Linked DNA regions of Lonchura striata. Each later gene encodes a partner of the first gene's protein in a complex. Links are inferred from orthologs where the notes say so. Each region holds a gene or a part of one and is shown on either strand. Other genes may lie near its edges.

What was found.
Region 2: the proteins of CRHR1 (region 1) and CRH are in contact, whole or in part, in a cryo-EM structure (PDB 6P9X), measured with the Homo sapiens proteins. The link is inferred for Lonchura striata from reciprocal best matches to the Homo sapiens genes CRHR1 and CRH. Residues at the interface, in NP_004373.2 of Homo sapiens: Lys113, Tyr116, His117, Ala119, Val120, Asn123, Trp169, Val172, Gln173, Met176, Ser177, Pro178, His181, Thr192, Tyr195, Asn196, His199, Phe203, Phe260, Gly261, Lys262, Tyr267, Tyr272, Gln273, Met276, Ile277, Leu280, Tyr327, Phe330, Phe331; in NP_000747.1 of Homo sapiens: Glu156, Pro157, Pro158, Ile159, Ser160, Leu161, Asp162, Leu163, Thr164, Phe165, His166, Leu167, Leu168, Arg169, Glu170, Leu172, Met174, Arg176.
Region 3: the proteins of CRHR1 (region 1) and UCN are in contact, whole or in part, in a cryo-EM structure (PDB 6PB0), measured with the Homo sapiens proteins. The link is inferred for Lonchura striata from reciprocal best matches to the Homo sapiens genes CRHR1 and UCN. Residues at the interface, in NP_004373.2 of Homo sapiens: Leu106, Asn107, Glu109, Lys113, His117, Val120, Asn123, Trp169, Val172, Gln173, Ser177, Pro178, His181, Gln182, Thr192, Tyr195, Asn196, His199, Phe203, Phe260, Gly261, Lys262, Pro264, Tyr270, Tyr272, Gln273, Met276, Ile277, Tyr327, Phe330; in NP_003344.1 of Homo sapiens: Asn84, Pro85, Ser86, Leu87, Ser88, Ile89, Asp90, Leu91, Thr92, Phe93, His94, Leu95, Leu96, Arg97, Leu99, Leu100, Glu101, Leu102, Ala103, Arg104, Thr105, Gln106, Gln108, Arg109.

The regions. Positions count from the first base shown.
Region 1 is NC_134627.1:1,367,651-1,378,623, forward strand, and holds the start of CRHR1 (corticotropin-releasing factor receptor 1), read right to left. Parts: upstream 4,330-10,973; 5' UTR 3,953-4,329; coding exon 3,914-3,952; intron 1-3,913.
Region 2 is NC_134603.1:35,190,683-35,200,297, forward strand, and holds CRH (corticoliberin), read left to right. Parts: upstream 1-5,087; 5' UTR 5,088-5,380; intron 5,381-5,926; 5' UTR 5,927-5,941; coding exon 5,942-6,475; 3' UTR 6,476-6,957; downstream 6,958-9,615. Other genes in the region: TRIM55 (tripartite motif-containing protein 55), read right to left, coding at 9,017-9,136. UniProt on the Homo sapiens protein: Hormone regulating the release of corticotropin from pituitary gland. Induces NLRP6 in intestinal epithelial cells, hence may influence gut microbiota profile.
Region 3 is NC_134605.1:113,705,625-113,714,351, forward strand, and holds UCN (urocortin), read left to right. Parts: upstream 1-6,741; coding exon 6,742-7,041; downstream 7,042-8,727. Other genes in the region: mitochondrial inner membrane protein Mpv17, read left to right, coding at 873-980, 1,310-1,402, 1,628-1,723, 3,160-3,192, 3,345-3,397, 3,472-3,541. UniProt on the Homo sapiens protein: Acts in vitro to stimulate the secretion of adrenocorticotropic hormone (ACTH). Binds with high affinity to CRF receptor types 1, 2-alpha, and 2-beta. Plays a role in the establishment of normal hearing thresholds.

The DNA.
Region 1 (10,973 bases):
AAATGAAACCTCCAGGCAGATCTGGTCCAGGAAGGACCCTCTGTTTTAGACCTGGCAGTAACCTGTTTTGCCACTCCAAGCCCCTTCACTGCCCTACCAAGCCCCTGTTGCTCCTTCATTTCTCTCCCAAAGCCCCATTCCAAGCCCTGCCATCACTGGGACATCAAGGCAAAGCTCAGGCAATGGAACAAGGCTCAAAGCAAGACTCGTGGGGGAATTTTTCCATGGCTGGTGTTCCTCAGCGGGAGAGCAGGCAGTGAGAACATCTCCATCCTCCATCTGGCATTAAAATCTGCGAGTTTATTAATTTATCTGTATTAGATGGCCAGTCTCTGTGGTGTGTAAACAGGAGCTTTGGTGAGAGTGTTTATTCTGTTTGCAGTCTCTCTCCAAGTGTGCTGGATGCAGATCCTAACAAAAGAATATCAATCAAGGCTAAATAATGCCCTGTAAAAACTGATTTATGAGCAATTAAAGGTTTTCCTGGATTAAGCTCGGGTCTCTGTCACTTGCCATAAATAATTCTGACTTCATTTATCTGTCGTGAGAGACATGAATTTTTAGGGACAGGTTAAAAAATGACAAATGGCATTTGGGTGTTGGAAGCTAAAGGCATCGTCAAGCTGGGAAAGGGCATGCAACCATTCAGCTCCTATGGGATCTGGATTTGCAGGGGCAAAGGCTGCTGAGGAAGACTGGAGTGATGGGCACAAGCCTGGGGGAGGGCTGTTTTTCTAAGGCAATTTTATTAAACTCTCCTGCAGATTGTACATGTGGAACTCCTGTGTATTGACAGCTATTTTCAGTTTGGGATTGGACATTTTTCCCTCCAGCTCTGTCCCAAAACCCTCATCTTGACTGCCCCAAACCCCCTCGTTCACCCATCACCTTTTTAGGGTTGAACATCCACAATTAAATTCCCCATAATTTTTTTTTCTGGTTTATTCACATTCACAGCTCAGGAAAGCTTGGCCACACCAAAGTTGCATCTGCTGGGGTGGATACTGCAGATTTCAGGGTGGAAGAGGGACTGTGATCTGCAGAATACCAACACACTTTGCCCTTGGCCATTGAAATAGAGGCGACTCCTCCTAGGAGGGTGACTGTAGATAAAGCAGAGAAGGAGGGTCTCTTCTATAGCTCAGAATACAGTTAGGGAAAAACAACAGATGGGCCCGGGCTATGTTATTCCATCTTCAGAAAGAGCCACCCTCTCCTGAGTGACAGCTCTGAGGTGTTGGACAATGGCTCCTGGGCTCTGCTTTGTGAGGGAACCCCATGATTTGGGGGTTGATTTGTGCTTTCTTTGGGTTCAAAAACTGTTCTCACAGACAAATCCATGGATGCAGCCTCTCTAAGCACTGCAGACTCAATTGCAGCTTGAGCTTGTCACTCACAATGAACTTCTAGGCTAACCCTGTGCAGGATTTTGGGAGCAGAGCTGGATTTCAGGGCAGGGTTGAGCTGGTGGTGCAGGATATTCTCATTGTATTCCTATACATCCTGTGGTGATAGTGCAGCTATTCTGGGAACAGGCTGTGCCTTTTCCATTCACTTCTTTGCTGGAGATGCAGAACCACAGGGATGATTTCATACACACTGAATCAACTCCAGCTTTTAAGGAAAGCAAGGACTGGAAGAGATCCCCAGGGTCAGCATGTCCTGCAACTGCAGCTCTGCATTTTATGCAAGGATTCAAGCATGGAAGGAGCAGGGGTTGTTTTTGGGCTTATTGCTGCTGGAGGTGGTCAAGTGAAACCAAATCATCAATCCCTGATTTTTCATAAAACACTTTGCAGTTCTATCAGCCACAGAAATGTCATTGGCTCCTGACAGAGATGCAAGTGGACTGGTTTATTTTTAATCACTTTTTTAGTTTGTTTCAATGACTTGCAAGGGTGCCAGGGAGCACTTGGCAGCAAGTTTGGCAGCAAGTTTGGCTGCCTATCTCCTAGTCTGTCTGTCCGACATCCTGAGGGATGTCTATTCAGTAAAGCAACATGGGCAAACTGATGCTAAAGTGGAGGTACAAACCAGGTGCACGGGGAACGCCTAAACTGTGCCAACCCAGTATCTGCAGGGGAGGTTTGTCCCTGCTGAGCTCTGGGTTGGAGCTGGGCTGCTGCAGGTCTCTGCACTCACAGGCAGGATGCTGCTGCAGCTATACCTGGCTGCAGGGATGCACTCATGGCTGGAGTTTCATGGTCCTTTAGTTCATGCTGTCCCCAAGAGAGGGTTAGGACTGTTCTGGAAAAACATCTGAGATTTGAATGCATGTATTTATAAGGAAAAATAGACAGCTTGACTGCAAAGTGGGGGTGGGGGGGGGTAGTTGTAGATTGGCTGTTTCTTTTTGGAGCCAGCTGGAGAGGCTTCTCTTTGTCTGGTCTGGTTTTTCTGACCCCTCTCTCCTGGTCCCAGCCAGAGTGCAGGGATGGTTTTGTCTCAGAATCTGGAAGGTTTGTGAAGATTTGCTGCTCCACCTTCACAAGGAGAATATCCTTGGGGAACACCTGGGGATGGCAAGGGAGTCCCCCTGAGCCTAAGGAGCTTTGACAGAGGATGGAAGCTGTGTATCAGCACCTCTGGGCTTCTTTTGTACCACTTTTTGCTCACCGAAGTTATTAGGAGCTGTCATGTTCACGTGGCTCTCCCCACCAGAACATGATCTTACTGCACTGGGTCTGTGCTAGACTGGCCAAGAAGGACCTGGGCTGGGGGAAAAGATCCTGCCCTGTGTCAGCTTTATTTCTTACATCAGAGCCCAACAAAACCTGAACCAGGGAAAGTAACAGCAAAATAGCTCCCATAAACCCTATCAATCAGGCTTAGTGGGTTACAGCAATAAGAGAGAGCAGCTGCTCAGAAGAGTTTTTAGAAGCAACACCAACTAGGCAGGAGGTCTCCTGGTGCTCATCAGCTCTTTTCATCATTTAGGTAAGAACTTTCCTGGCCCAGAGGTGCAGCTGACATGTGAGATACGCATTGGAGTGAACAGTGGGGTGCACAGCCTGCAGGGTACAAGCCGTAGTGGTGACAATGGGGAGAGCTCTCCCTCCACTTTACCTGCTGTTTTAACTCTGCAGTCCCAGCTGGGCCACTGAGACACCATTCTGCAGCCAGTCAGGCAGATTTGTTCTTTTACCCCTCCTTGACACAGAGGTTTTATCAGAAACCTGATCAATTTGTTTAACTGCCACTCTAGGCTTGTTCAAATAAAATTCAAGATTTCACTGGGAGACCCTTCATCTTGTTTGTCCATGGCTTGGGATTTAAACAAGCTTTGGGGCTGTTAATGTTTCCCTCCTTGATGAGCCCTCAAGGAGGAGGAATATTGCTTCTGACAAAGCATTTGCATATTGTGCAGAGCTGCAAAATTAGCAGTGGCTACAGTTCCACAGCAAGCAAATTAGAGAGAAAAAGTGTTGTGCTTTGCAGGTGCAGGGCAGTAAAGGAGAGGGTTCCTTAGAAAATTAATTATGGGAGGTACAACTGGACTGTGCATTTGCACTGTCCACATCCACCACACGCCCAGAGTGGCCACCCGCTCCCAGCAGCCTGGGAAACTGGTGGCAGCTGTTTTCACTGGGAGGTGCAAGGCTGGGAGTTACTGGGAGCCCTGGGGTGAGTTCAGGAGGACCTGGCTGCGATTCTCCCCCCCTTTAAATGATCCTTTCACTCACTTCAGCCCCCCTCCCCGATAGTCTTTGAGCATCACGAGATCTTGCTAAACCCCAGTGCCTCGACTGGAGGAATTCTCCCGAGGGCCCTTTGTGTTGCGGTTTCTCTTCCTACTTTTCCCGTCAAAGAAATTGAAAAGTCACTGCGGAGAACGCGGGCGATGCACGGCGTAGGGGTGATGGGGACGGGGCAGAAGGGCCCTTATGGGAGAAGAGGACTTAAAGCATCTTACCTGCAGGAGGAGGAGGGCAGGACGTAGGCTGGGCACCATCCTCAGCTGCCCCTGCGCCCAGCTCCCCGGGGCATGGCCGGCAGCGTCCCCGCTCCTGCCGGGCTGCTCCTGCCGTCGGGGAGACAATCCTCTGGGCTTCCAGCGAAGGAGCCTGGCGGGTCCCGCAGGGCTGCGCGGAGGCTGCGGGTCCTTCTGCGTCCCGGTCCTGCCTTTTATAACCTCCTCGGAGCCGGTCCTCCGGCTGCCCACCTTCCAGCTCGCCTGGCGATGGGCTACATCCCTCCTCACCAGCCTCCCACTCCCCCTTCTCTCCCTCCTCCTCCTCTTCCTCCTCCCCTTTTCCTTCCTCCACCTCCCTGGTGCCTTCCAACTGTATTTGATTTCTCCCCCCCCGCCCCCCTTTTCTCCTTCCCTCCCTCAGCATCTTCAGCAGCAGAAACTTCCCACCGGCCCAGGGACCGCCCTCCCGCCTCTCCTTGGAGGGGGTTTCTCCTCTCCACCCCTCTCACTCCCATCGTGCAGACGCTGTGGGGTCCCTCCTGTGGAGCCTGGCGGCTTCTTTTGTGTCTGCGAAGGCTTTGGGGCTGCATTTGCCGGGGATGAGGGGATGAGCGGGTGTTACACATTTGGGGATTTCGCTCCAGGGCTCTGTCAGAGGAACTGGGACAAGTGTCCCAGTTTCTCCCAGGTCCCCCCCGTCAGCCTTTGCAGCCCCTTTGCAAAACGGATGGTGAGCACGAAAGGAGGGCAGAGCCCCTTTTCTCTTCCACAGGGATGGGGTGGAAGGGGTTTCAGCCCTGCCTTGCGAGGGAGAGGCTCCTGAGGGAAGAACAGGGATGTGGGGCAGGTGGACTCGGGTCTTCCACACAGCGGGACTGTGCGAGGGATGTTTGATCACAAGGGTGGACCCGGAGGAAGTGGAGGTGCTGCTAGCACCGTGCTTTGTCCCGTAAGCTGGGTTGGTGGCAGGGGCAGAGGTGATGGGACAGGAGCAGGTGGGGTTTGAACTGATAGAGAAGGGGGGGAAGGGTGGGGAACAGTGGTGTGGGAGAGCCTGGATGATGCTCCTGAGGTCTTGCATAATGATATGTCCCTTCTCGCCTAGCATAACCCTCTGGCTTTAAAGGGTCTCCTGTCACACCTCTGTGTCTCAGCTCCTGCAGTTCCCTGGCAGCCATCTCCTGGTCTCCTGGGGAGGGATTCCACACACCCCTGTGTCCCGGGGTTGATATGGTCAGGATTGTGTCCATCCCTGAGTTGGTAGGCTGGGTTAAACCTGCTCCCCCATGCCAGGGCAGTTTCAGAGCATGCCTTCTGTACTCACTGAGGTTTAGGGGGGTGTCCCACTGTGGGTGCTCTGCGTATCCTGGGAGTGAGCCCAGCTCCATCAGCCTGAGGTGAGCTGGGGCAGACAGCCAGGCAACAGATTGTTGCTTCCTTCTTTCCTTGAGGAAATAAGGATCAATGAGGTGTACTGCTGGGAGGGGGGATGCTGGAAAATATTGCCATGGGACCACCATCTAGGGGTGTGATATTTCCCTTAGCTGATGACGCTTCATCTACCACCAGCCTCTCACAGGGTGCTGGATTGTGCTCCCAGCTGCAGGCTCTGCCTCTGGGAATGGCTGCAGACCACAGCAGGTTGCAGATAAATCAATAGAAGGGCAGAGTCTCTTGATGAATTCACGGCCACAGCCTCTATCCATCTTTACTGAGCTGCTCTTTGTCTCTGGAGCACCTGCAGCTGCAGGACCAAGGCACAAGTACTGAGCAGGGCTGTGTCCCAGCATGTGGGGGCACCTAGTGACCCATCCTGGCCCCCAAAGGGTAAATGCTCCTGGCCCAGTAATTAAGGGGAATAAACAACACAGACATAAATCTTTTGGCGTTAGCTGGGTTAAATCAATTGTGTCACTGCTTTGACAAAGAAATATGAAAATATTTAAATCTCTGGTAAATTCAGCAAACTTTTGTTTCTGAGATATCTTAACATCCCTCCTGTGACAAGTATGGGATGAGACAGACTCCAGAGCCACCCTTGTGTTACCTCTCACTTCAATAAGCCCATGGAAAATGCATAATTTTCTACAAATGGCTTGAGAAAGCTTGCTCCAAATAATTTTGAGCATCCTGGATTCAGCTGAGGGCATCACAGGATCATGGAATTGTTTGAATTGGGAGATCATGTAGTTCCAAACCCCTGCCATGGGACACCTTCTACCATCACAGGTCTAGGGCACAGTTCCTGGTCACAAAACACACTCTGGTTTTGGAGGCTGCTCAGGGCTTTGTGCACCCAGGGGACAGAAGGGACCTTGCAATGGGAAGCACAAGAGACCTTATTCCCACACCAAGACCAAGGATTGTCTTTCATCATCTCAGCCTGCCCATGGCCAGCAAGAAGGACATGTAGGATGGCCATGCTCTGCTCAGGTGCCCTAAGTATGAGGTGATGCAAGGAAGGCAGAAGTGAGCACTATTTTTAGTTAAGGAATTGGTTGCCAGGGACATGAAAATAATTCCTTCCCCATATATCAGGGAAAAGGCTGCAGTGTTGTTTAAAGCACCTAATTGAGGGGATTTATAGTAAAATGCAACTTGTCAGATGTGGCAAAGGAAAAATAGAACAGTCCCTGAGACACAGAAATCAGTCCATTTGTCACGGTTAATCTCAAACTTCTCGATGCAGTGCAGAGACAGATGTTGGATATGGCTTTTAGGGATGGAGACAATGAAGAGAAATATCGGATATCTAGGAAGGAGGGAGAGATTGAGTCTGACTTACCTGCCTTTGGTAAACTATTATTTTATGTAACTCCATGTGGTTTGACAGTCCTGTGTCTGAGCAGCTCCATGACAGCTGCACTTTGGGGCTGTTTGCAGGACTTACACCACTGCCCTGCTCCCACCCTGTCCCTGCAGCCAACCTTCACCTGGTTTGGGAAAACTCCATGTGTCCCTCCTGCAGTATAGGGATGAGACTGGGACTGTTCCGTGCACTGAAAGGGTGCAGGGAAATGCATCCTTGCTTCTCCCATGGAGCACTGGTAGCAGGGCTTTGCTTCCAGCTAGGACATCTGTAGGAGAAAATAATCCTCAGTGTCCTGGACATTTAGGCCAGTTTGGTGGAAAGGTGAGGTTTAGCTTCTCAGCTGAAATCCCAGCTGAGATCAGCAGTGTGCCTCAATTTCCCCACCTGTGTGTTGGGACTGTTTCTTTCCCAGGAGGTTGAGTGCAGCTGGGAATGCTCGGGGCACTGCTCAGGGGAGGACAGGCTGTCAGCACATGGGGCTGTGTTAGCAACTGCAGGCCAAGAAAAAATCCAACCCACCACATTGTTTCTCCCAGGAGACTTGTTTTTTGCCCCGCTTTTAAAATTAGTTTCCAGGTTTTCTGTCCTGTGTCCTTTTCCCTCCTCCTAGACCTGCAGTGAGGGGAACACTCTCTCAAACTCTGCCTGACTAAAGAAAGTAGCTGCTGGGATGAGGTTCCTCTCATTCCTGCTTACCACATAGTATAATCATGCCTCATATTTGAGTATCCCTGTTGTATTTGACCACTCTGTATCACCTGCTTCACCCCTGCAAATCTCAGGTGCTCTGAAACGAAGAGCAGGAAAGCTCAAGCCACAGCCCTGCTGAAAACATTGCAGGGAAAGAAACCAAAGATTGTTACCAACCTCATTCAGTGAGTATTACCTTAGAGCTGTGCTGGCAGATTTTCTTGAAGGCCTTGCAAATGCTTGGGTGGCCTCTGGACACTTCAGACCCCTGTTCGTCCCGTCAAACTCTGCTGGAGATGCAGAAGAGTCCATGCAGGAAGACAAACTAGTGTCCTGCTGGGAGAAGGAAAACTCAGACACATGGAGCTGGGTTTACTCTGACTCATTGCTCCATGCAGCAAGTGACTGATTCTTTCATTTACACGGATAAATCCCCCCTGCCATTTTTAATTCCCACACTGTGTGCATTAATAGGAGATCCCACATTTACAAAAACATGGCAACTGCAAACTCAAGGAAACCCACAAAGATTTGGGATCTAACTGAATTTCTCATTTGCTTCCCAAGTTTCTCAAAAGTGTTTGCCATGTTTTTCAAATTGCTTTTGGGAGGATGTGTCAGTTTTGAATATAACAGAAACACAAAAGCTTTTGTTCTTCAGCTAATTAAACCTCAAGGCAGAATGCTAAACTGATCATAATAAAAGTCATAATTATTATTTTTCTCATTCAAAGCAAAGTCAACTGAAATTTCCCAATCAGCAGTTGGCATTTCCCATCAAACAGATCACAGTGGTTTGTGGTTGGGAAAAACTCCATGGTTTTATTCTGGAAACTGATCCCACCAAAGCAGCAGCAGAAAGTGGCTCTGTCTTCACACCGTGTGTGACACAGAGATGCACAACACTGTCAGCTTTGAGCCTCTTTGTAGCTGTGTCTGGCAGCATAGGAACACATCACAATTCTGCTGCATTGTCTGTTGTTGTACAGATGTACATGAGTTCTTATGGATATACAAGGATGTACAGAGACTCTTCCATGCATCATGGAATAATAAGATTGGAAAATCCCTCCCAGACCATGGAGTCCAACCTGTGCCCCATCCTCACCTTGTTACCAAACCTAGAGTACTGAGTGACATGTCCTTGGACACCTCCAGGGATAGGGACTCCAAACCTCCCTGGGCAGTCCCTTGCAATGCTTAATAGCTCTTTCCATGAGGAAATTCATCCTGATGTCAAACCTGAACCTCCCCTAGCAGAGCTTGACACCATTTCCTCTTGTCCTGTATCTTGTTCCCTGAGAGAAGAGCCCAACTCCACCAGCTGCCCCCCACCCCCCGCTGGTGTTGTGGAGAGCCAGAAGGTCCCCCCGAGCCTCCTTTTCTCCAGGCTGAGCCCTCCCACAGAAGAATGGGCATATCCAGAGTGTTGCACTCACACCTGTTGGCGTTAACTCCACAGCATCATGGATGTGGACATGTCATGGGTGGTGGAAATGTCCTGCAGAGATTGTAGCAGGGATTGTGACGTTCTCAGAAATAGCTTGTGGTAAAAATACTTCCCCACTTCTCAGGTCTGCAAGTAGCCCTCAGGGTAGGAAAGGTTCTGGATGTCTTTCAAATCTGGTTATTTATTCCCTGTATGTTTGATGAAATATTAATCTCCTCATCTCCAAAAGGCAATCAAATAAAACTGAGAAGAGATGACGCACAGAGCCTCAACACAGACAACAAAAAGCAGCAAAATAAAAATGAAATAAAATTCCAAATGCAATGTAGAATTCTATAAAAGACATCTCTGTGCTGGCATAAAGGGCAGAGACTAAGTGACCTGGTGTCCCCAGGACTTGGCAGGCCAAGCAGAACCGTGCAAGGAAGAGGATGAAGAGGGCTTGGATCAGGAAATTGCTCAGGTTGGTCTGAAGATTTTCTGTGAGAGCTGTTGGTGGGATTTCTTTGAAGGTTTCCCCTTCCTTCTCCTGTGCATTAGAGGGTGGGTTGGTGCCAAGGCACCAGCCAGCTTGAGCCACTGTGCTGGGAATGGAGGGAAGGCAGACGGTGGATGTGTTGGAGGTGGTGGCGGCTGGCACCGGGAGCAGCCATTCAGCATGATGGAAACAGGCAGCCTGGTGGGAATGGAACTCCAGAGGGGAAGTCTTGCTGCAGAGCTCCTACAAGGCCCCAGTTCCATCTGCTTTCCTGGTGATGCAGCCTCAGACTGGACTCGGCCACTGTCTGAGAAGAGATGCTGCACTGTCTTCCTGAAATGGGCCTTGGAAACTATTCACTGGATGGTGCTGGTACTAAAGGGATTGCACATGCAGCCAACAAGAATCTGGCAAAGTTTTGTTCAGTTTGTGACCTCTCAGCCCATTTTCTTCATGTGTTTGGGTCACATCTTCTCTGTACAATAATCTCACAGATAATCTCCCGACATTTGATGAGGCCAAAAACTTTCTGCCATCTCTGTTTCTCTGGCTGTTGCCAGTGTGCAGGTGACATGGAAAGTGGTGTGAGTACCTTGTTTAATAGTTGTGGTCATAAAATAATTTGGTCACATAGGTAAAAATCGTTTTTCAAATGTTTTTCTCCAGGCACATGTTAACTACGATCCTGTAGGTCCTCAGTGCTTCAGCTGGGGACAAAGGCCAGTCATTTATTTAGGATGTCTTTGGGTTTGCCCTCTTGTTCTGTAAAGTTCCTCAGTCCATGAAAAGTCCAGAGATTATTAGTATATATATAATGCTTTATCCCAGAGATTTTAAGGTTTTAGCAGTTTGCTAACTGTATTCCTGATGCATATTTTACTCCATCATTGCTCAGGATTTTTCCTTCATTAGCAATAATTAACCACTGAGTAAGGGCCAACCAAAGGCCTGCAATTTATTACAGGGGAAAGAGGAAATTTCAAATCTGCTCTGCTGAAAGGGATCCAGTTTGCACAGGGATCTACTTCCCCTCTCCTCATATTTCCTTGGATGTGCTGAGGTGGCACCGTGTGTGAATGGGAAATTTGTGCATGGCAGCTCATGGTCCCTGCAGGCACAGGGAGCATTGCTGTGGCAGTGCACAGGTCACTGCTGTGGAGCAGCCAAGAACAGGGCACAGCTGCCCTCAGAGCAGGGCAGGTCCCTTTTGGGATGTAGAAGAAAATATAAGAAAAGAAGGGGAAGAAGAGAAAGAAAGGAGAGAGGAAAGAAGGGGAAGGGGAAGGGGAAGGGGAAGGAGGAGAGGAGAGGAGAGGAGAGGAGAGGAGAGGAGAGGAGAGGAGAGGAGAGGAGAGGAGAGGAGAGGAGAGGAGAGGAGAGGAGAGGAGAGGAGAGGAGAGGAGAGGAGAGGAGAGGAGAGGAGAGGAGAGGAGAGGAAGGAGAGGAGAGGAGGAAAAATCGTGCTTTTCCTCCTTTCCTGTCTCACTGAATAGAGTACCTCTCTCTTGCCAATCTCTCCTCTTTCCTCCTCCAATTCCCATGTGCAGGTCCCAAGCTGTCTAGGATGAGAAGCCAGAGGCATCTCCCACATCCAGGCTTTGGTTTGACCTCAGGCTACGAGGGAATTCCT
Region 2 (9,615 bases), on another chromosome or scaffold:
AGCTGTGCCCCCCCTCCCTGCCCCAAGTTCAGGGTCAGTTCTGGGCTCTAACCTCCAGGGACAGAGCTGTTCCTGGGGAGAGGCACTGTAGAGTTCCCTCCCTATCCTTCCCTGAAGTTCCACCCTGGTTTCTTCTACTTCCCCTTGGCCCAGTGCCTGCCCTCCCGTGGCTCAGCATCCCCTGTTTTGCTCACTGCAGCCATACCCTGCTATCCATTGTGTCTGTACCACTCTGCCACTCTGAACTGTGAGCCTGGATATCCCAGTGGCTTGTTCCAGATGCGTGCCAGATGCAAACGCAGATCCTTGTCCTTGTCCTTGCCTCACTCTGCACCAAGGACAGACAGACAAACTGGGTACTCAGCTAACCAGCAAAATTTCTTTAATGGCCAAATGTACCCAGACACCAAGACAACCAGGAATACCCGTTGCTTGGTGCTCCTGGGACATGCCTGTTTGATGGATTTCCTTGGTGTTACCAATAACTGAGATTAGTTCCTGTAGCATTATCATTAACAGCACAGCGGGCTCACACATGTGCCTGGGCAGCCTTCTCCAGCCCTTATTTGAGAGCAAGAATAGCAGCTGACAAGTCTTGTGAGGTAAATATAAAGGTCAGCTGTTGTCTCCCTGGATGAGGGCTGTCAGGAGGAGAGAGGCACAGCACTTTCCCACCTCCATGCTGCTCACAGCTTCTGCAAGTCCCTTCCCTGCTCAGAAGAAGAGAGCAATGCTGTGAGGCCTCCAGAAGTGCTTTTAGGCGTGTCCAAGAGGGTATGGGAGCAGCTCCTCCCCGTGTTACCCTCACTGGTGGGAATTGAACAGGCAGGGCTTTGGGTGAAGGGAAGGCTCTGGCTGGGACAGTAGGTCCATGCTTGGGATTCCTGAGCAGTGCACACTGCCCCTGCTCAACTGGGGGTCAGACCGTCCCTGCAAATCCACCCGTGTGTGAGCTGCTGGGGACGGCTGTGCTCCTCCCAGACATGGTGGAACCAAGAGGATATTCCTAAGGAATTTTTCCTTCTGCTGGGACCCCCAAACACATAAAATTACATCTTGTAAGCAGACATCAAGGATCAAGAGTAAGAATATGAAGTCGTGAATGAAAATAGTCCTCTGGTTGAGCTTGGTCTCAGATAATGCAAGACTCACTCCTACTTCTTACACAATTCCTGGACAGATATTTGATAAATTTCTTCACCCTCTAGCGTGTTTTTCCCACTGGAAAGTTTGGGAATTTAAAGTGCTTTACTCTCTCTCTCATGGGACTGTAGGGAAATCTGATACAAATCATAGGTGGAGCTCTGCTGTAAGACTGAGGTGCACCACAGAAAATCTCTGTGACAGGAGCATGTGACTTCCTTCCCAGAGCAATGTGATTGAAAAATGAAAGAGAAATTAAAAGTGAAGGAGAGAATTTTGAAGACTTCTGGGGTCAGAAGCAAGGGCAGATAGCTGAAATCCTTATCAGTTTAATTTTTCATCCTGGTCTACAACATACTTTTTTGTATATAATTGATTTATTTTGATTTATTTTTATAACTCACTTTAATTGAGGTTATCTATGATTATTCTAGCAAATTCAGTCTGCTGAAGAATAATAGGCAAATGTATTTTGTTCTTAAGGTGACTTATCACCTTCAGGCAGAGTAAGATACCCTGAATTTAATTTTTCTTTTTCTCTCAGCTGTCCCAGAATCCATAATATTTATAACTATCAGATACAAATTTCTTTGTATCAAGACTACCAAAAGGTGAAATGGAAGTGTGATGTACACATGTCAGTGCATGATTACTGGCATCTCAGAGTGGGTGAGATGAGCTGAGTTCACCTGAAATAGTCAGACTGTAAGATCGTGTGTCTGACCACATGGATCAAGAACGATGGGGATCACATGAAGGGGTACTGTGAGATGTGGAAATGTTTGCTGAACTCACCAATGCAAAAAATCCTTGCTGCCTTCTGACAAAGTGGCAATGAAATATTGCGCTGTGGTAGAAAGTTGATCTACATCTGGTGTGCATCCTTCCACGTTTGTAGTTGGGCATCTTCAAAAATACCTGGGGTAAGAGCCATAACCTCAGTTTAACATCATCCCCTCTGTATTACCATACTTAGAACTGTGTGATCTCTCTGCTATGGTCAGTCAGTGAGGAGGGGATTCTTCTCACCTCACATTGCTGCCTAAGAATTCAGTGGGCAGGCAAAGGTGGTTGTCTGCACTCCCTTTATAGACAAGGGAACAAGGTGAACGTCTCCAGAAACCCGAAGGTGCTCTATTGCGGGGGGTGCATCATGCTCTGGGCATGCTTTTGCTTTCCCTGAGCTACCTCAGAGCAGCTGTAATTGCTTTTCAGTAGGTGCCTGAGTTTGAGATCACCAAGGCTAAAGGGCAAGAGCACTCAACCCGAGTCAGAGGAGAGGAAATGGTTCTCAATAGTGTTTTTTATTTCTAGACAGTTATTTTGTGATTCACTAAAATTTCTGTTTGCTCCTGATGTTTGCAGAATGAGTCAAATATGAACACTTTTCTTATGAAGGGTATGCTAATCTCCAACTATAATACTAAACAAAAATCTCTAAATCCAGATGTACCTCATATCCTCCTTGTATTCCTTTTTCACCCCTCTGTTGAGAAGCCAAGATTTCTTCTGTTGCAATCTCCTTCAGAAGTGACAGCTGACATTTCACTCAGAAACTAGTGACTGTGGGGAAAGGACTTTTATATTCCTAGGTAGTCAGTTGTGCATTTGAAGTGCTGAAGGAAGTACTTTTTTTGGTTTATGTATCTGTGATATTTTATATTCCTCATTATCAAGACATCCGACTGTCTCACAGTGTTCCCTGCATTGCTGCAAGCCCTCACACATCACTCAGGATCTATGAGGAAAGTGGGGTAATAGGACCATGTTGGCTTAGAAACAAGCTTGTGTGAGACACTGCGGACCATACTCAGAGCCAGGGGTGAGAGAAAAATGGAGGAAAAGAAACTGGCATCTTGTACAGCTCTTGTAGAAACTTGAGGATACCAGCCTCCTTCTCTGTTGCATTTGCTATACCTGGATTTCTTCAAGGGACAAAACTGTCTGCCTAAAGAGACCTAAATAATACTGTAAATTATTAAAAACATAACATAACCTGTGCCATTTCTCACTGGCATCAATCTTTTGGAGAAATGCAGCTCTGTCTTATTCAAACCTCACCCCTAACACAAAAAAAATTATTATTCTGATAAAAATTCTTCTTTCTTTACATTTATGATCTCATTATTTTAAGAGGCTTTTGTGTTTTTAAGCAGTATGTTAAACCTAAAAATGGAGACACTGATAAAACCCAACCCAGAGCACATCTAAAGGGTTTGAGTTTAATAAGTACCTCTAACATTTTCCTTCAATTGATTGAACTTAGCTCCTGTTTCTTTGAACCTCTTGTTCTCACTGAAAGCCATGCTGACATGCTTTAAAAGCATACAAATAACTGATGCTGTGACTAGCTACACAATATATTCTGTTCTGTAATACACATTTCAGTTCATGAATGCCTGAGCAAAAAGTGGTAATGAAGAGCTAAATCTCTGGTACTAAATCTCTGTTTTTCCATTTGTTTCTTCATGACGCATAAGATCTGATTCTTTGGCACTTTGCAAAATGTGCATCTGAGGCTGGAGCTAGGTACAACTAAAATTGAAGTTTAGAGCATCCCTAAAGAGATGCTCAGAATTGGTCTGTGGCCAACCTCATACATTAAGTGGTTTTTACTTTGTTATTTTATTAAGGAAATGGAGTTCAGATCTATCATTTTGCATCAATAGCATGTGACCACCTGTTCTGTCCCAACTCCTCACTATGATGGGAAACACTCAAGTGTGTGACCCCAGGAGTTTATTGTCTAGGCAAGATAAAACCAATAGGTTTTCTGTAGAGTTCTCCAACTTAAAGAGAAGGAAATGATTGATGTTTCAACTGAGGCAGTGGAGAAAGAGGACTGAAAGGCATTGGCAAAGGTGATGGGATGCAAAAATGGAAGACCACACATTACACATGGAATGGATGTCGGGCAAAAGTTATTTCTAGAAGTTCGGCAGCACTTCCTCTTGAAGAGATCAGAGAGCAAGAAACCCAGGTGGAGACGTTGATGTACTGCGGTCTGGAGCTTGAAGATGTACTGGTCATGGGAGAACACCTCGAAAAAGCTCCACGTGGGATTAGGACAGGCTGGAGAGGAAGGCCTTAGCTGAGGAGGGCAAACAGGGAAAGCACAAGGCCATGGCGTTGAAGAGGTGGGGAAGATCAGCCAGTGGAGTCGAGAAGGGGGAAAAAGAGCAGTTGTTGCCTCCACGCAAACAGCGGGAGAGCAATGGAGAGGAGCACGGGCCGCACGGCGGGAGCGGGCGCCGGCAGCGCGGAGCCGGCGCCGGGACGAGCCGGCGGCGCTGCCATCGGTGGCGGGGCAGAAGGAGCCGAGCGCCCCCCGGGCGACGCTCCCTGCCCCGGCAGATGCTCGCAGGCAGCCCTGGCGGCTGTCTCGGCCTTCCCCGCCACCCCCGGGGCCTTTCCGCCCCCTCTGCCGCCGGCGGGGTCCCTGGCAGCTCCGGTGCCAGCGCTGCCGCGGGTCCCTGCCGGCACTGGCACCTTCCTCTTCCCGCGGCTCGGCTGCGCCCCTGTCCGCTTCGCGGGGCGAGCGCTGCCCCGGCCCGCGCCGACCCCGGGAGCGGAGCGAAGACCGGACCCACGCAAAACACGCGCCCTGCAGGCCTCCTGCCCACCCGCCACAGTCGTCCGTGAGGGCGGGCTCGGAGGCGGCGGAGGCCGGGCGGCCGGGAAAGAGCGAGGATGGAGAAGGAGATTGCTCGGGATATCAGCCCCGGCCCCGCTCGGGTCGGGTCCCTCCCCGCGGGCCGGCCCGTGAGTGGAAAGTTTCCCCGGAGCGACCTCTCATAGTACGCGCCCGCTAGGAAATCTCATTCAAGTATTTTTGTCAATGGGGTGGGGGGGGCATCCTGCTCCCCGGCCCCCGGCCCGGCTGACGTCACTGCAGAGGCGATAAATATCTGTTGATATAATTGGACGTGAGATTTGGGGTTGCGATAGCGAAACTCGGCCCATCGCCGCTCCGACGGGCCCCCATGATTTATTCAGCAGTAGATCGGGGCACGCAATCGGGCTGTCAGGGAGAGCGTCAGCTTATTAGGCAAGTTCTGCGTGATTCCAGGAGAGGGTCTAAGCTATAAAAATCCCGCGCTCCGGCTCTGATTAGTACCAAATCTGATCCCAAGTTTGCCAGGAGCCGGCTCCGAGGGAGAGCGAGAGGAAGGGACGCCGGGCACCGCCGAGTCCCGCCGCCGCCCGCCCTGCCCTACCGCCGCCTCCGCCGCCCCAGGTAGGTGCGCGGCCGCGGCCGGGCGCGCAGCGGATGCGCTGCCCTGCGCTGAGCGGGGCTGAGCGCCGCGTCCCGCGGGACACGGGGAGCTGTCCTGGCCGGACAGGGAGCGGGGAGGCGGGGAACGGGCGCTTAAACCCCACAGCTCGTGGGGAGAGCCGCCCCGCCACAGGCACCCCACGTTCCCCCTCTCCCCGGGTGGGTGAAGGGGCACGGGTCGCGAACACGCGTGAGCGCTCCGCAGGGGCTCAGCCCAGCCTGGTCCCGGGAGCCGCTGCCGGCGCAGCGCGGAGCCGCCGCGCGGGGCTGTTCCGCGGGGTTGTTCCGCGGGGAGCGGCCGCCTCGACGGCGCGGGTGGACCGGCCGGGGTGAGCGCAGCCGGGGGTGGTGTGCGGGGAACGGAGGGGCGCGGAGCGACGCGGAGCGGCGCGTTTCAGCACCGGGACAGCGGCGGTGGGGACGCCCCCTCCCCGGCCGCCCGCTGCCCTTCCCGCCGCTGCGGCTCGGCTTTGTAACCCAAACCCCGTCCCCCGTCTGCCCCCGCAGGTTTGGGCCCCGATCATGAAGATCCCGCTGCTGGTCTCCACGGGAATCCTGCTGGTCGCCCTCCTGCCCTGCCAGGAGTGCAGAGCTCTCAGCAAGAGCCCGGCACCCGCCCCTGGGGCTCTGCACCAGCCAGATTTCTTCCAGCAGCAGCAGCGACAGCAGCAGCAGCAGCAGCAAACTCTGCCCGTCCTGCTCCGCATGGGAGAAGAGTATTTCCTGCGCCTGGGCAACCTTCACAAGAGACCCGTTGGTTCTTTCTCCGCCTCCTCCAGCAGCACCAGCCACCTACAGCCCGAAGCCTCCGCCAGCAACTTTTTCCGGGCGGCGGTTCAACAGCTGCAGCAGCTGCCCGAGCGCTCGCCGGGGGACCGAGAGGACGGGGAAGCCGAGGGTGAGGCGGTGGAGAGGGAGAAGCGATCCGAAGAACCCCCTATTTCTCTGGATCTGACTTTCCACCTCCTGCGAGAAGTCTTGGAGATGGCCCGAGCCGAGCAGTTAGCGCAGCAAGCTCACAGCAACAGGAAACTGATGGAGATAATCGGGAAGTGAAACGGCCCCTCCCCGCCTTGCCAAAGAGATTCCGCAGTTAGCACAAGAATAATTACACCGTCCGATGTACCATAGTGCTGCTCTGATGTCATCTCTTTATTTTTATATAGCTTTAAACCTAGAAGGGCGTACTCCGAACAGCCTCTGTCCCTTGACTAGCATGCACAACCGTGTACCAAGTGCAGAAACACGAGTGTCGTTTGTAACCTCCCTTACCTTTATTTATTTCTCCATTTCCCAGTTATTCTAGTGCCATCGCTACGTAGGGATGTGTGAGCATTGGAAGAAATGGTGCCAAGAAGACAGAAAACTTTTCTGTTGGGGGCAGGGAGTGGGAGGGGGAATCTCTGTAAGCTACTTTCAATCCACTTTTTTTTTCCTGTAAACATTTTCACAATAAATCATCTTTTCAGCGCTCGGTCGATTTGGTTGTGTAAGAGAATGTTTAATATTTATATTTTTAATAAAAGCTGCAAAGTAAAGATGCCTTGATAGATTTTCTTGCCTAGACGCCTGGGGGCTGCTCCGCCTCCCTCAGCGCTAACCGGGGCGGGGGGACACCCGCGGCCGTGGACACCCAGAGCCGCGGGGAGCCCTGGATCTCCCCGGGGATGTTTTCCCCCCGGCCTGTATCCGCGGGCTCTCCCGCAGGCTCGCCCCGACGCCGCCGGCCCCGGACGGGGGCTGCTCCCGCCGCCGCGCTCGGCGCAGGCTGCTCCCGGGAAGGGGGCGTCGAGGGCCAAATCAGCCCCCCCGAGCTGGCGAATCCCACCTCTGCAGCCTCCCGAGGGAGCTCCCTGGCTCCTGCCGCTGTGTCCGGGACCGGGCAGCCTCCTCCCGCCGGGGAGCACCGATGGGAAAGCGGTGAGGCGCTCCCGCATCTCTTTTGCGTTTTCGCACCCTTCCCGCACCACAAAAGGGCAGGTTCCTCCCTGCTTCGGCTTCTCCCGTCCCGTCGGCCGTGCCCACCCTGGGTCCCTCCCAGGGACTTCTAGGGAGGCTGCAGTGGGTGTGGAGAAACTTCCCGGGAGGAGCTGGGGGAAATCTCCAGGACGACTGGGAGAAAATAGTAAATCCCTCACCCCGAACCAAATCCCAGGGAAAAGCTGCTCCAGCAGCCGGAGGCGATGCGGTGGCGGTGCTGGGCGGCGCTCGTTCTGGGCTGTGCGAATTCCAAAGCTTTCGCACGGAGCTTGCCTGTGCATTCTGCAAAACTCTCTCAAGAGTTTTCCAGGGAAAACAGATACCAACGAGGGCTGGTAGAAACGGGTGCCCAGGACAGGGGCTGACCCCACACAGCCTGCTATGCTAACCAGTCTGCACTGCCAGCTCACCAGTCCTGCTGGGGCACAGCACAGCCTTATGGCCCCACACAGGCCCCTGCCAAAACAGCACAGTGAGGGCCTGGCTCGGGGATTTGGGAAAGATCCACACATAACCCTAGTGCAGAGCTTGACACCTGGTCCCCTATGGCACCAAGCACTCCCGGCAGCCTGCCAATCTCTTAAACACTGCTGAGTGTTGACACCTACTCCCAGTGACAAGAACCAGAGAGTGATGCCTTCAGTACAACTTGTAGAGCCTCTTTTAAGACACAAATTTGATTTCATTTGATGGCTCAACATCTACAATGCACACGGAATAGGAAAGTCAGCATCTGCCTTTTCTACAGCACAGCTTCAAATTAAACCTTGAGTGAATACCTGTGACCACCTTATCGCACCCTGGTTTAATGTAAGAACATGTCCCCTTTTGTACACACACCGACAGCAGAGAAGACATGGACAGAGGGAACGGCTGGAAAGACTGGGCAGCACTTCAGCAACTGCCCCACATACTCAAAGCTGTGTGGGGGTCTTGGCCAGTGTTTTTTGGTAAGTGTCTCTTCCTCAGTCCTGCCACTCGGAATCTTCCTTACAAATAATGTGTTTCTGCAAGCGTCATCTGTTGTGGTTTAGTAGGAAGAGCAAGTGAAAAGGAAGAAATGGCAGCTTCCTTCTTCCCTCCCATGTTCAGCCTCTGCAGCCTGGGACGCACCAGTACTGTAAGACACAACCCCAACTTGGGGATGCCAAGGACATAAGAGTGTCACTGAAGCCACCAGCACTGACAAGAGGGGACGTAGGAGAATCCTGAAGAGAAACACTGTTCTGGCAAAGGATGCTACTAGAGAATATCACACCAGCATTTTAGCTAAGAACATTGGTGAAGTGTTTACACCTACATGGGGATGTGCCATCAAGTGAGTTACAAAACACTAGCAGTGCTCAGACTAAAGCTGTAGTGATGCCTCTTCCCCCATGGAAGCAAAAACTTATTGGAAAACACTCTGACTACAACACATAAAATAATCTGTCCCTATGCTCCCCTCTCTCTCCCTGTCAATTCAAGGGTATGGTGTGGAGGTCAGCTGAGTTCCCAGGAATGAAATCTGTTCAGATGCCCCTTCCCAGGCCAGTTTCTTTGCTGACTGCAGCCAGGCTGCCTGTGCTCACAGTCCTTCCGAAGAGAAGCACACCAGAAGCCAGCCAGAGTGAGTCATCATTCATTCAGTGAGTTCAACCATGAGAAGGAGAAGACATGACGAGCCGGCTCGTCACCCCTCTCACTGCTCACGGGAGCTTCCTCCACTCGTCCTTGAGTGTATGGCTCAGAACCAGTCTGCAAAGAAAGGAAAGGTTGATAAATGGAAGAGAAAAATATGAATTACATTAAAATCCATAAGATTTCACTACATGCAGGGAAACAGAATGAAGTGGAAAAGAAGGGAAAAGGCAGGGAGCGTGGAAATTTGAGAAGCTAATACAAGACTTCTAACATCAAAGAAGTCAGAGGGACTTTTGCCATGACCAGTGTCTGAGGAAGGATTATGCTGGCTGAGCGTGTCACATTTGTGCAAAGGGCTTAGTCCTGATTTGGACCCTTGGAATATTATTTAGCACTGAAGGTGATAAATGCCTGTTCAGAAGTGATCCTGAGCCAGCTTGGCTGGTGTAGCTGGGTCTCCAGATTGATGTGAACCAGAGCCAAATGTTATTGCCAGTGCATTGCCACTCAAAATGATACTTGTTCTTCTGTTATGAAATCTGCCTTGGAAGTGTTTTCTTTTTTTTTTTTTCTTTTAAGCCTTCTAATATTTA
Region 3 (8,727 bases), on another chromosome or scaffold:
GACAGGGAGCTGCGCCCTTGTCCATGGGGAACCACTGACTAAGTCCCTGGGGCAGGGCTGGTACCGAGCTGGTCGTGGCTGGGGTGGTCGGGACAGGGGCTACTGGGGCTGGCGCCCGTCAGGCTGAGGGTTTGCTGGGCTCAGGGCTTCCGAGGACGGAGCGGAGCGGCAGCGGGGTGGAGACCTGCCAGAGAACTGTCTCGGGGGAGTGGGGAGAGGGAGCAGGAGCCGCCAGGGCCGGGGGAGCAGCTGGAGGGGCAGCACTGGGCCAGCTGAGTTGCGTCGAAGGGGTCAGGGGTGTAGGATAGAGCAGGAGCTGCCAGAGACCCAGCCGGGCAGCACCCCACCAGGGACACTGATCTAGAAACAGGGCCAGGAGCTGTGCCAGCAGCCAGCTGTGGCAAGGGCTGGGGCAGCGGGGAGCACGTTCTGCCCATCCCGGCTAGTGGGGGATGCAGACAGAGAGCTGGTCTCCAGGGAGGGGATCACAGCCGGCAGAACCTGCCCGGTGTCCAGGGAGAGATTTGGGGGTGCTGTGGGAAAGGCTGCGGTGGAGATCATGGGCAGCAGCTGGGCGGGCTCTGCTCTGCTCTGAGAGCGCCGTGGAGCCTGGGTGATGGGTCTGCCCCGTGTCTGGGTCACTGGGAGGAGGTGCAGCTTGGACCGTTTTGACCAGAGATGCTGCGGTGAGAGCCCTGAGGCACTTGGCAGAGCGGGACACCTGTGCCATGGGCTTTGGTGCAGGCTGGGGAGCTGCAGCTAGGACAGGGCTGGAACAGGCTCAGGCATCCTGGGGCAGGGGGCCCAGCTGGGGGCAAGTCACACGGGGGTCTGGCCTGCCTAAATGGGCTGTGCTGGTTGCAGGGGCCCTCATGGGAGCTGGAGATGTGATTGCACAGCAGCTGGTGGAGCAGCGGGGGCTGCATGGGCACCACTGCCTCCGCACCCTGAAAATGATGGGCATTGGCTTCTGCTTTGTGGTGAGTGGGGATGGGATGGGATGGGATGGGATGGGATGGGATGGGATGGGATGGGATGGGATGGGATGGGATGGGATGGGATGGGATGGGATGGGATGGCTCCTACAGCAGGGTGGGACTGTGGTGGTGGACTGTGAGTTGGGCCACCCTGATGCCACCTCCAGCGGCCATGGCAAGGCCAGTTCTATGGAGCAGGAGCAGCATAGAATGAGCTTGTCTTTGTGGTCCAGAGCTGGAGCAGGGCCAGGTAACCTGCCCTGGAGGCCCTCAGCCCTGACCGCTGTGACCAGTGAGGGCAGATAATGCTCCTCACCCCCTGGCTCCTGCAGGGCCCTGTTGTGGGCAGCTGGTACAGGATTCTGGATTGGCTCATCCCTGGGAATACAAAAGTTGTGGCTGTGAAGAAGGTGATCCTGGACCAGGTTGGTGTGACATGGGTGAGGATGTGTGGGACTGTGGGGCAGTGGGGACACAGGATAGTCCCTGTGGCAAGTTTCCAGCCTGCTCTGAGAGCCCAGTGCCTGAGCTGGGCCCAGCCTCGCTGCCGTGGAGGGCTGAGGTGGTCATTTTGGCAGAGGCTGCCCATGGCCAGCCTGGCTCCAAGCACCATGAGCTCCTCAGCATCGGCCGGGGCTCCTCTCTCGCAGGGGGGTTTCGCTCCGTGCTTCCTTGGCTGCTTCCTGGCTGTCACAGGGGCCACGAACGGGCTGTCGGTGCAGGAGAACTGGTCCAAGATCCAGCAGGTATGTGCTGCTGCCCTGGGCACCCTGGGGCCCTGGCAGCTCCTCCTGTGTGCTGGCCCTGACGGCTGCTCCCACTTGTGTCCCACGGCCCTGGGCGTGTTGGGTGCCCAGTGCTGCCAGTCCATATACTGGTGCCAGGGCCAGTTCCTCTGGCATGGGTGTCCTGTGGGCGAGTCCTGGGGTCCCACCTGGGCCAGTCATGGGTGCCACGAGCGTGCTGTCCAGCCCAGCTCCTGGCTGGGCCTCCGGAGCAATTACCAAGATGACTCCCATTAACAGTAATTGCTGGACACCGGTGTGAACACTGAGTCAGCGTGTCCAGTGTGAGTCACTGGGGAGTGGGTGCCCACCTGCCACAGGATGAGGAGTGCTGGGGTGGTCGCGTGGCTGCCAGGAGCGGCAGCGCCAGCCTCTCTCACTGCTGCTGCCTGAGCACGGCCCCAGCCTGGCTGGAGCTCTGCCCAGGTGCCACCACCAGTGTTCATTCCTCTGTGTGGGGGCACCCAGTCACCAGCCTGTTACACACTGGGCTGCCAGCATGTGCCCCTCATCCCGCCCCAGAGCGCAGGAAGGAGATCCCAGGGCGGGATCACATCACCTCTGCTTTTGTCAGGCTCTATGCAAGCTACAGCTGGGCATGGGGTGCTCCAAGGCACCCTAAGGGCACGCGTGAACAGATCGTGGGCACAGGCAGCACTCTGAGTGCTCCCATCCATCTTCCCCTGCTGCATCCTGACCAGCTCGTGCCATGGATCTGCCTTGCCTTCCCCAGGGAATCCTGCCGTGGTTGGTGATTCGTGTGAGCTGTGGCTCCTGGGAGCCCTGGCCTGGAAGGGGCTGATGGGCTGGGGATGGGCAGCAGTGCTGGCAGCACCTTCACCCCTGGCTTGGGGCGCATCCGCCTCTCCCCACGCAGAGGAAGCGTCAGCAGAGCATCCATCACCCCGCGCCCGCTCACCCCGTCCTGGGCTGCTGGCCAGCGCCAGGAGGAGCCCGGCCTCCTGGCTGAGTCACGGCCAAGCTGCAGGAGGGACTTGTCCTGCTGCCACGGGACAGGGATGCGACACGGCCGTGGCTGTGGCACGAGGACAAGGCGGCACCTTGGACTCCTGGAGCAGCTGCCCCAGCTCAGTGCCCCTCTCCGTTTCTGCCATGTGGTGCCCAGGAGGGGTCTGGGGGAGCACTGAGCTGGAAAGGGGCTCACAGCCCACACTGGGGGGCCAAGCCATGGGCCCATGTGCCCTGGCTATGGCACGAAGGGCTCTCAGTGGGGATGGTTCTGGTCACCCTCTCCCTGCCACCCTCATGGCTCTGGGAAGGCATGGGCAGGGCTGCAGGGGCTCCGTGCCCAGCAGTGTGGAGGACTCCAGTGTGGAGTTAGGGCACCAGCGGCAAGGATGGGGGCCCTGAGTGCTCACAGCTCCTTTTTCTTCCAGGACTACATGGATGCCCTGATGACCAATTACTGTGTGAGTGCTCGCACATCTGTGTCCCTGTCCCTGTCCGTTTCCTCCATGGGGCTGCCGTGGGCTCTGTGGGACACCCTGAGTGCCAGGCAGGGGTGGGTGTGGGACAGGGACCCTGGCAGGGCTCCTCACCGCTCCTCCTCTTCTCTGCCCAGATCTGGCCACCCGTGCAAATTGCGAACTTCTACTTCGTGCCTCTGCAGCACAGGTAGTGTTGCGGCCCTGGTGCCCAGTCCGTGCCCCCTGAGCCGGCAGCTGCAGACCCTGTTCCTCTGTCCCCAGGCTGGCTGTTGTCCAATGTGTTGCCATCGTCTGGAACTGCTACCTGTCCTGGAAAGCGAATCGGATGTGAGGCACAATCCGTGTCCTGTGCCTGTGCCCGGCCTGTGCGCTCCAGACCAGCACAACTCGGAGCCCTGGCCATGGGCACGCATGGCCGTGGGCAGGCTGGGATACACGGGGTCCTGCAGCAGCCATCCTGCGCTTTTCTCAGGGGAACACCATCCCCTATGGCCACGGCCTCCTGCCCCAAGGAGAAGATGGTGCCAGGACAGGCCTGGATCTGCTCCAGCCATGCTGTGCAGCGACTCTGCCCACGGTGCACTTCTCTCTCTGTGCTCAGCCATTTCCAAGCCCTGCACACGGGGTGCTCCTGTCCTGAGTGTCACTCTGACCTTCCCCACAGCACATCCCGAGGGAAAAGAGGAGTGGAAATGGAGCAGGGCTGGCCTGGGCTGGCTGTGCTGTGGGCGCAGAACTGGGCTCACTGCAGGCTGGGGATGCTTCCCCTGAAAACAGGGTTTGCTGTGGCTCTGCTGTGGACAGTCAAAGCATCAATAAACAGTTGTCTTCACTTTTGATTCCTGGGGCCCTGGGGCTTGTGGCCAGCATGCCCCCAGGCCCTGAAAGTGCTGTTCCAGGGCAACTGTCCTGTTAAGGATCAACAGGTCCACTCTACCTCATGTCAAGGCACTGAGCATGGGGCTAGGGGTTGCGGGCTGGGGTGGTCTGCCCCACCGGATAGAGAGGGGAGGGGACTCTGACAGAGGGTGGGTGGTGGTTTAGGGGTTCATCAGGTGCTACTGAAGCTGTTCCATGGGCTGTGATGGTCCTTCCGCAGCTGCAGAGCATTGGAATGAGGTCGATGGAGCCGAAGTCCTGATGCTGGGTGCAGAGTCCCCCCAGGGTCAGGGCTTGCTTGGTACAAGGCTGTGCATCTGGGGAGGGTCCAGAAAGGGTTGGGGGTAGGGCTGGAGCTGGATTTGGGCCAGGGCCACAATCCACCTGTGCCATGTCTGAGACAAGCCTGCCTGTCATGCCAGAGAGAAGCCCCGTGGAGCTGCCACTGCCTGTGCTGCTGCCCCTGGGGATGTGTGTCCACGCTCATCCTGCAGTGGCAGCGAGCACACAGTGTCGCACACTCACAGCGTCCAGCTCCCACAGTGTTCCTGCCCAGCACATCCCAACCAGGGGCTCCAAGTGGAGCTGGTGGCACCGTGGGGGTTCCTCCCATTTCTGTGGAGCCCTGGGCCCTGGCCCCCTCACCTGTGCTCCTGCAGCCCCACACAGCTGGACAGAGCCAGCGGGGCCCTGCCAGCATGGCCTTCATGGAGGGTGCTACCGTCTGTCCTCCACCCTCATCCTCCCCATGGTCTGGTTCTGTGCTGGCCCCAGCTTTGGGGCTGCTCCGGCCGGGTGGATACAACCTGGAATACAGAGGAGGCAAATCCTGCACAGTGCTGAGGGGTGAGGCAGGGGACTGGAGGGGCTGCAGCTGCAGCCCCCTTTCCCCCAGCAGTGCTCAATGGGGCAGCACAGGGCTGGGGCCAGGTGATGGGGCCATGCACGGATGGCACCAGTACTTGGGGGGTTCTGTGTGGGGCTCAAGTCCTCTACAGCCAGTGGGGTGGGTGCTGTGGGTGGCAGGAATTTGCAGCTCTGAGGTGTTGAGCCTCTTGCAGCTCCCTCTGGGGGTGCTGGAGGCTCTCTCTGTCAGCAATGAGAGCTGCGAGCATGGCAAGAGCCACGTGGAATGAGCCACTTGTCCCCAGGAGCAGCCGCCCCAGCATGGGGCTGCCAGGGCTCGGGGGGCTGAGCCCAGCCCCTGCTGAGGGCTCTGCCCTGCCGCTGCAGGAGGCGGTGCCCGGTGCCAGCCTTCATGCCGGATCACGTCATGGGGGCACGACACCGTGTGCTGCTCGCTGCGGGCAGGGCCGTGCCCCGCCGCCCCTGTGCCACCCGGGGTGGGACACACCGTGCGAGGGGCCGGGCTGAGCCCCTGTGCCCGGCTGTGCCCCGCACCGGCACTGCCCCGCTGCTCTGCCCCTGTAGCAGCGTCGGCGCTGGGTGTCAGCTCGGCTACGCTCGGCCGGCAGCCGCAGGACGCTCGGGGGCTGCCGGCAGCGGTGGGGAGCGCTCGGGGGGATGCCGGCAGTAGTGTGGAGCCCCAGCAGCCACCTCACCATTTGGCAGCGGTGCCGGTGCCCCGACGGAACACCCTGAATCCAGCACGGCGCTGCCAGCTCCGGTGCCTTCATTCTATGACTCACAGGACTTGGCCGATGCCGCCGCTGCGCTCGGGGCGTCTGCGGCCTCGGCCCCGCGGTTCGACCTCGGCACCGCCCGCTCCGCCCGGGACGCTGAGCCACGGCCAGGCTGGGGGTCCCACCCGTGACCGCCCCGTCCCGGAGCTGCCGGTGCTTGGGGTATCCCCACCTCCGCCCAGGAGTCCCTCCCGCCCCGATCGCTGCTTGGACGCCGCTGCTCGACGCGGCCGTTCCGCCCGGGAACGCAAGGGCTCCACGCCGAGAAGCCGCGGCTAGCCCCGTACAGCTCACTGAGGGCTCACCGGGAGCTCACCTGTACAGCCCACCGGCCCCGGTGCCCCAGCGCGTCCCGGCCGTTCAGCACCGCGGACAGCGGCGGAGAATGAGGCCGGAGATGCGGCAGAGCCGGGAGAGGGAACGGGGCGACCGGGAAACCGGGGGACAGGGGAAGCGAGGGTTAGCACGGCCCAAGGCACCTGCTCTCACCGGCCCCGGCCCCGCCGTGCCTCTCTGGTGGGCGTCAGAAAAGAATCGGAGAGGTGGCTCCCGAAACCGGCGAGAGCGGGCTCTGCCTCTCCGCCCCTCCGTCCCTCAAGCCCGTCCCGCCGCCGGGTGCCCGCTCCCCGCCGCTCCGGTGCCCCCTCTCCCCCGCCCCCGCCGCCCGGTGCGTGCCCGGCGCTGACGTCAGCCCGGGCTCCCGGGCCGATATAACCCCCGGCCGCGCCGCCGGCTCAGCTCCCGCGGGACGGATCGCTCGCCGCGCCGCCAGCACCGGCAGGAACAGGGCACGGGCACAGCGCACCGGGTACGGGACGGGGCTTGGGGACCGGGCAGGGACGGCACCGGGGCCGGGGCGCGCAGAGGGGGCGGAACGGGGCGGGAGGGGGCTCCGCGCCCGGGACCGTCCCCGCGCCGCCGGGGCCGCGGTTCCCGTCGGGCCTCCGCCGCCGCCCCAGTCTCTGCTGCGGCGCTAAGCCCCTGCCCCGTAGGTGCAGAAGGAGCGAGGATGCGGCGGGCACTGCTCACCCTCCTGCTGCTGCTCGCCCGCCCGCCGCCCGCCGCCGCCCGCCCCGCCACCACCGACGGCTCCATCCCGGCGGCCGGGACCGGGGCTCAGGACCAGCCGCTCTGGCCGCCGCTGGCGCCGCCGCCCCCGGGGCCGTGGCGAGGGCGGCGGGACGAGCCGCCGCTCTCCATCGACCTCACGTTCCACCTCCTGCGGCACCTCTTGCTGCTCGCCCGCGCCCAGAGCCAGCGCGCCCGCGCCGATTCCAATCGCCGCATCCTCGACGCCGTGGGGCGCTGAACCCCAGACCCCGGCATCCCCGGACACCCCGAACCCCCCATGACCCCGGGCTGCACCGGCCTCCAGCCACCCTGGCCCCTGCACTGTGCGGCGCTCGGCACCAACACCGGCACGGGCTGAGCCCGCCTCAGCCCCAGCGCTGCGGCGAGCGGGAGCGGAACCGGCCCGGCACCGGTCCGCACCGATTTTGTAATAAAACGTGGTGGAAACCCGAGGCGTGAGCGAGTGAGGGGTGGGGGCAGCTGGGGCTGTGCAGGACCAGGGACTGGGCAAACTGGGAATGTGCTCACTGGAAATGGGGAATGGGGAAAGAGGCTCAGTGGGAACAGGGAAAGAGGCTCAGTGGGAGCAAGGTAATGGGCTCATCAGGAATGGGGAATGGGTTTATGAGGAATGAAGAGGGGGCTCACCAGGGATGGGGAAACAACTCATTGGGAGTGGTGGAATGGGTTTACCAGGAAGGGACAAACAGACTCACTGGGAATAGGGAAAGGGCTCACTGGAAAGGGACTAAGGGCTCAGAAGTGGGAGACAGCATGAGCTGGGTCAGGGCTGGGTAGGAGCAGCTGGGCCAGCAGCACGAACCCCCCAGCTCTGGAACAAGGCCGTGGGTGTTCTGGGTCAGGGGGGACACACCATGTGCTTCGGGGGGAGGCGATGCTCACAGCTCCCCAGGAGTGGGAGCAGTAGGAAGCAAATGGGACAGAGGGATGGGAACGATGGGTCCCCACCACCAGTGAGCCAGTCACAGGCGTCTGCACACACGTGTCCACAGGTGGGGACATGAGCAGAGAAGCAATCCTGCCCCAGGATGGTGGGCGAGGCTGGGAGCTGCGGGAGGGACAGACACAGACCCTTTGGGGGGATATGGCCACGATGTGGGAGCTCCAGGAGTGGGAGGAAACCTCCACGGGACACTCAGTGCTGCTGAGTGGGTCAGGGCTGGAGTGGTGGGTGGGAGGGGGGCACTGTGGTGGGCTGTGTTCCTTGGCCCTCAATCAGAGGACAGGGATGAAGCCTTCTGAGGCAGTTGGGGGAGGTTCAGCCTCCTTGTGGCTGGCCCTGGTCCTCACCACTTGCTCTGTGGAAAGTGATCCTGCTGGTGGCTGTGGATGTGACTGGATGTCTCTTCCCACCTAAACCAGCCAGAAATTCTTTGATAGCATCCCAACAGCTGCTGGAAGGGCAGCATGGCAGAGCTGGAGCCCTGTTTCTAATGGAGTGCCTGGAAGGACTGCGCAGATGTGACAGCAGGGGAGTCAGTGCTCAAGACAGGCAGGGGTGCAGGGCTTCATAACACCAGCAGAGTGTGAAGCCCCCCGAGTTCACAGGAGCTCTTGCAGTGACCCCGTGGCTCTGGTAGGGAGCTGTACCAAGGGGCAAAAGAGTTGGGGAGCACAGCCTTTGGGAATGAGCTCAAGGCTGGAGATTCCCCACTCCAGGCCCTGCTCCAGCTGCTCATGCTGTGGCCACTGGGACTTGAATGGGGAAATTCCACCAGAGCATCAGTACCCTGGAGCTGGAAGGCCTTGCGGCAAGAAGGATTGTAGTGGGACGATCCCTCCTAGGAGATATTTATACCAGGTTGGACACTGACTTGGACACCCTGACAAACAGAGCTGGGGCTAGTGGGGACCTAGGGACCTCCTGCCCCTCACGCAGCCGTGGGTGCCTTCCCAGCTGGAG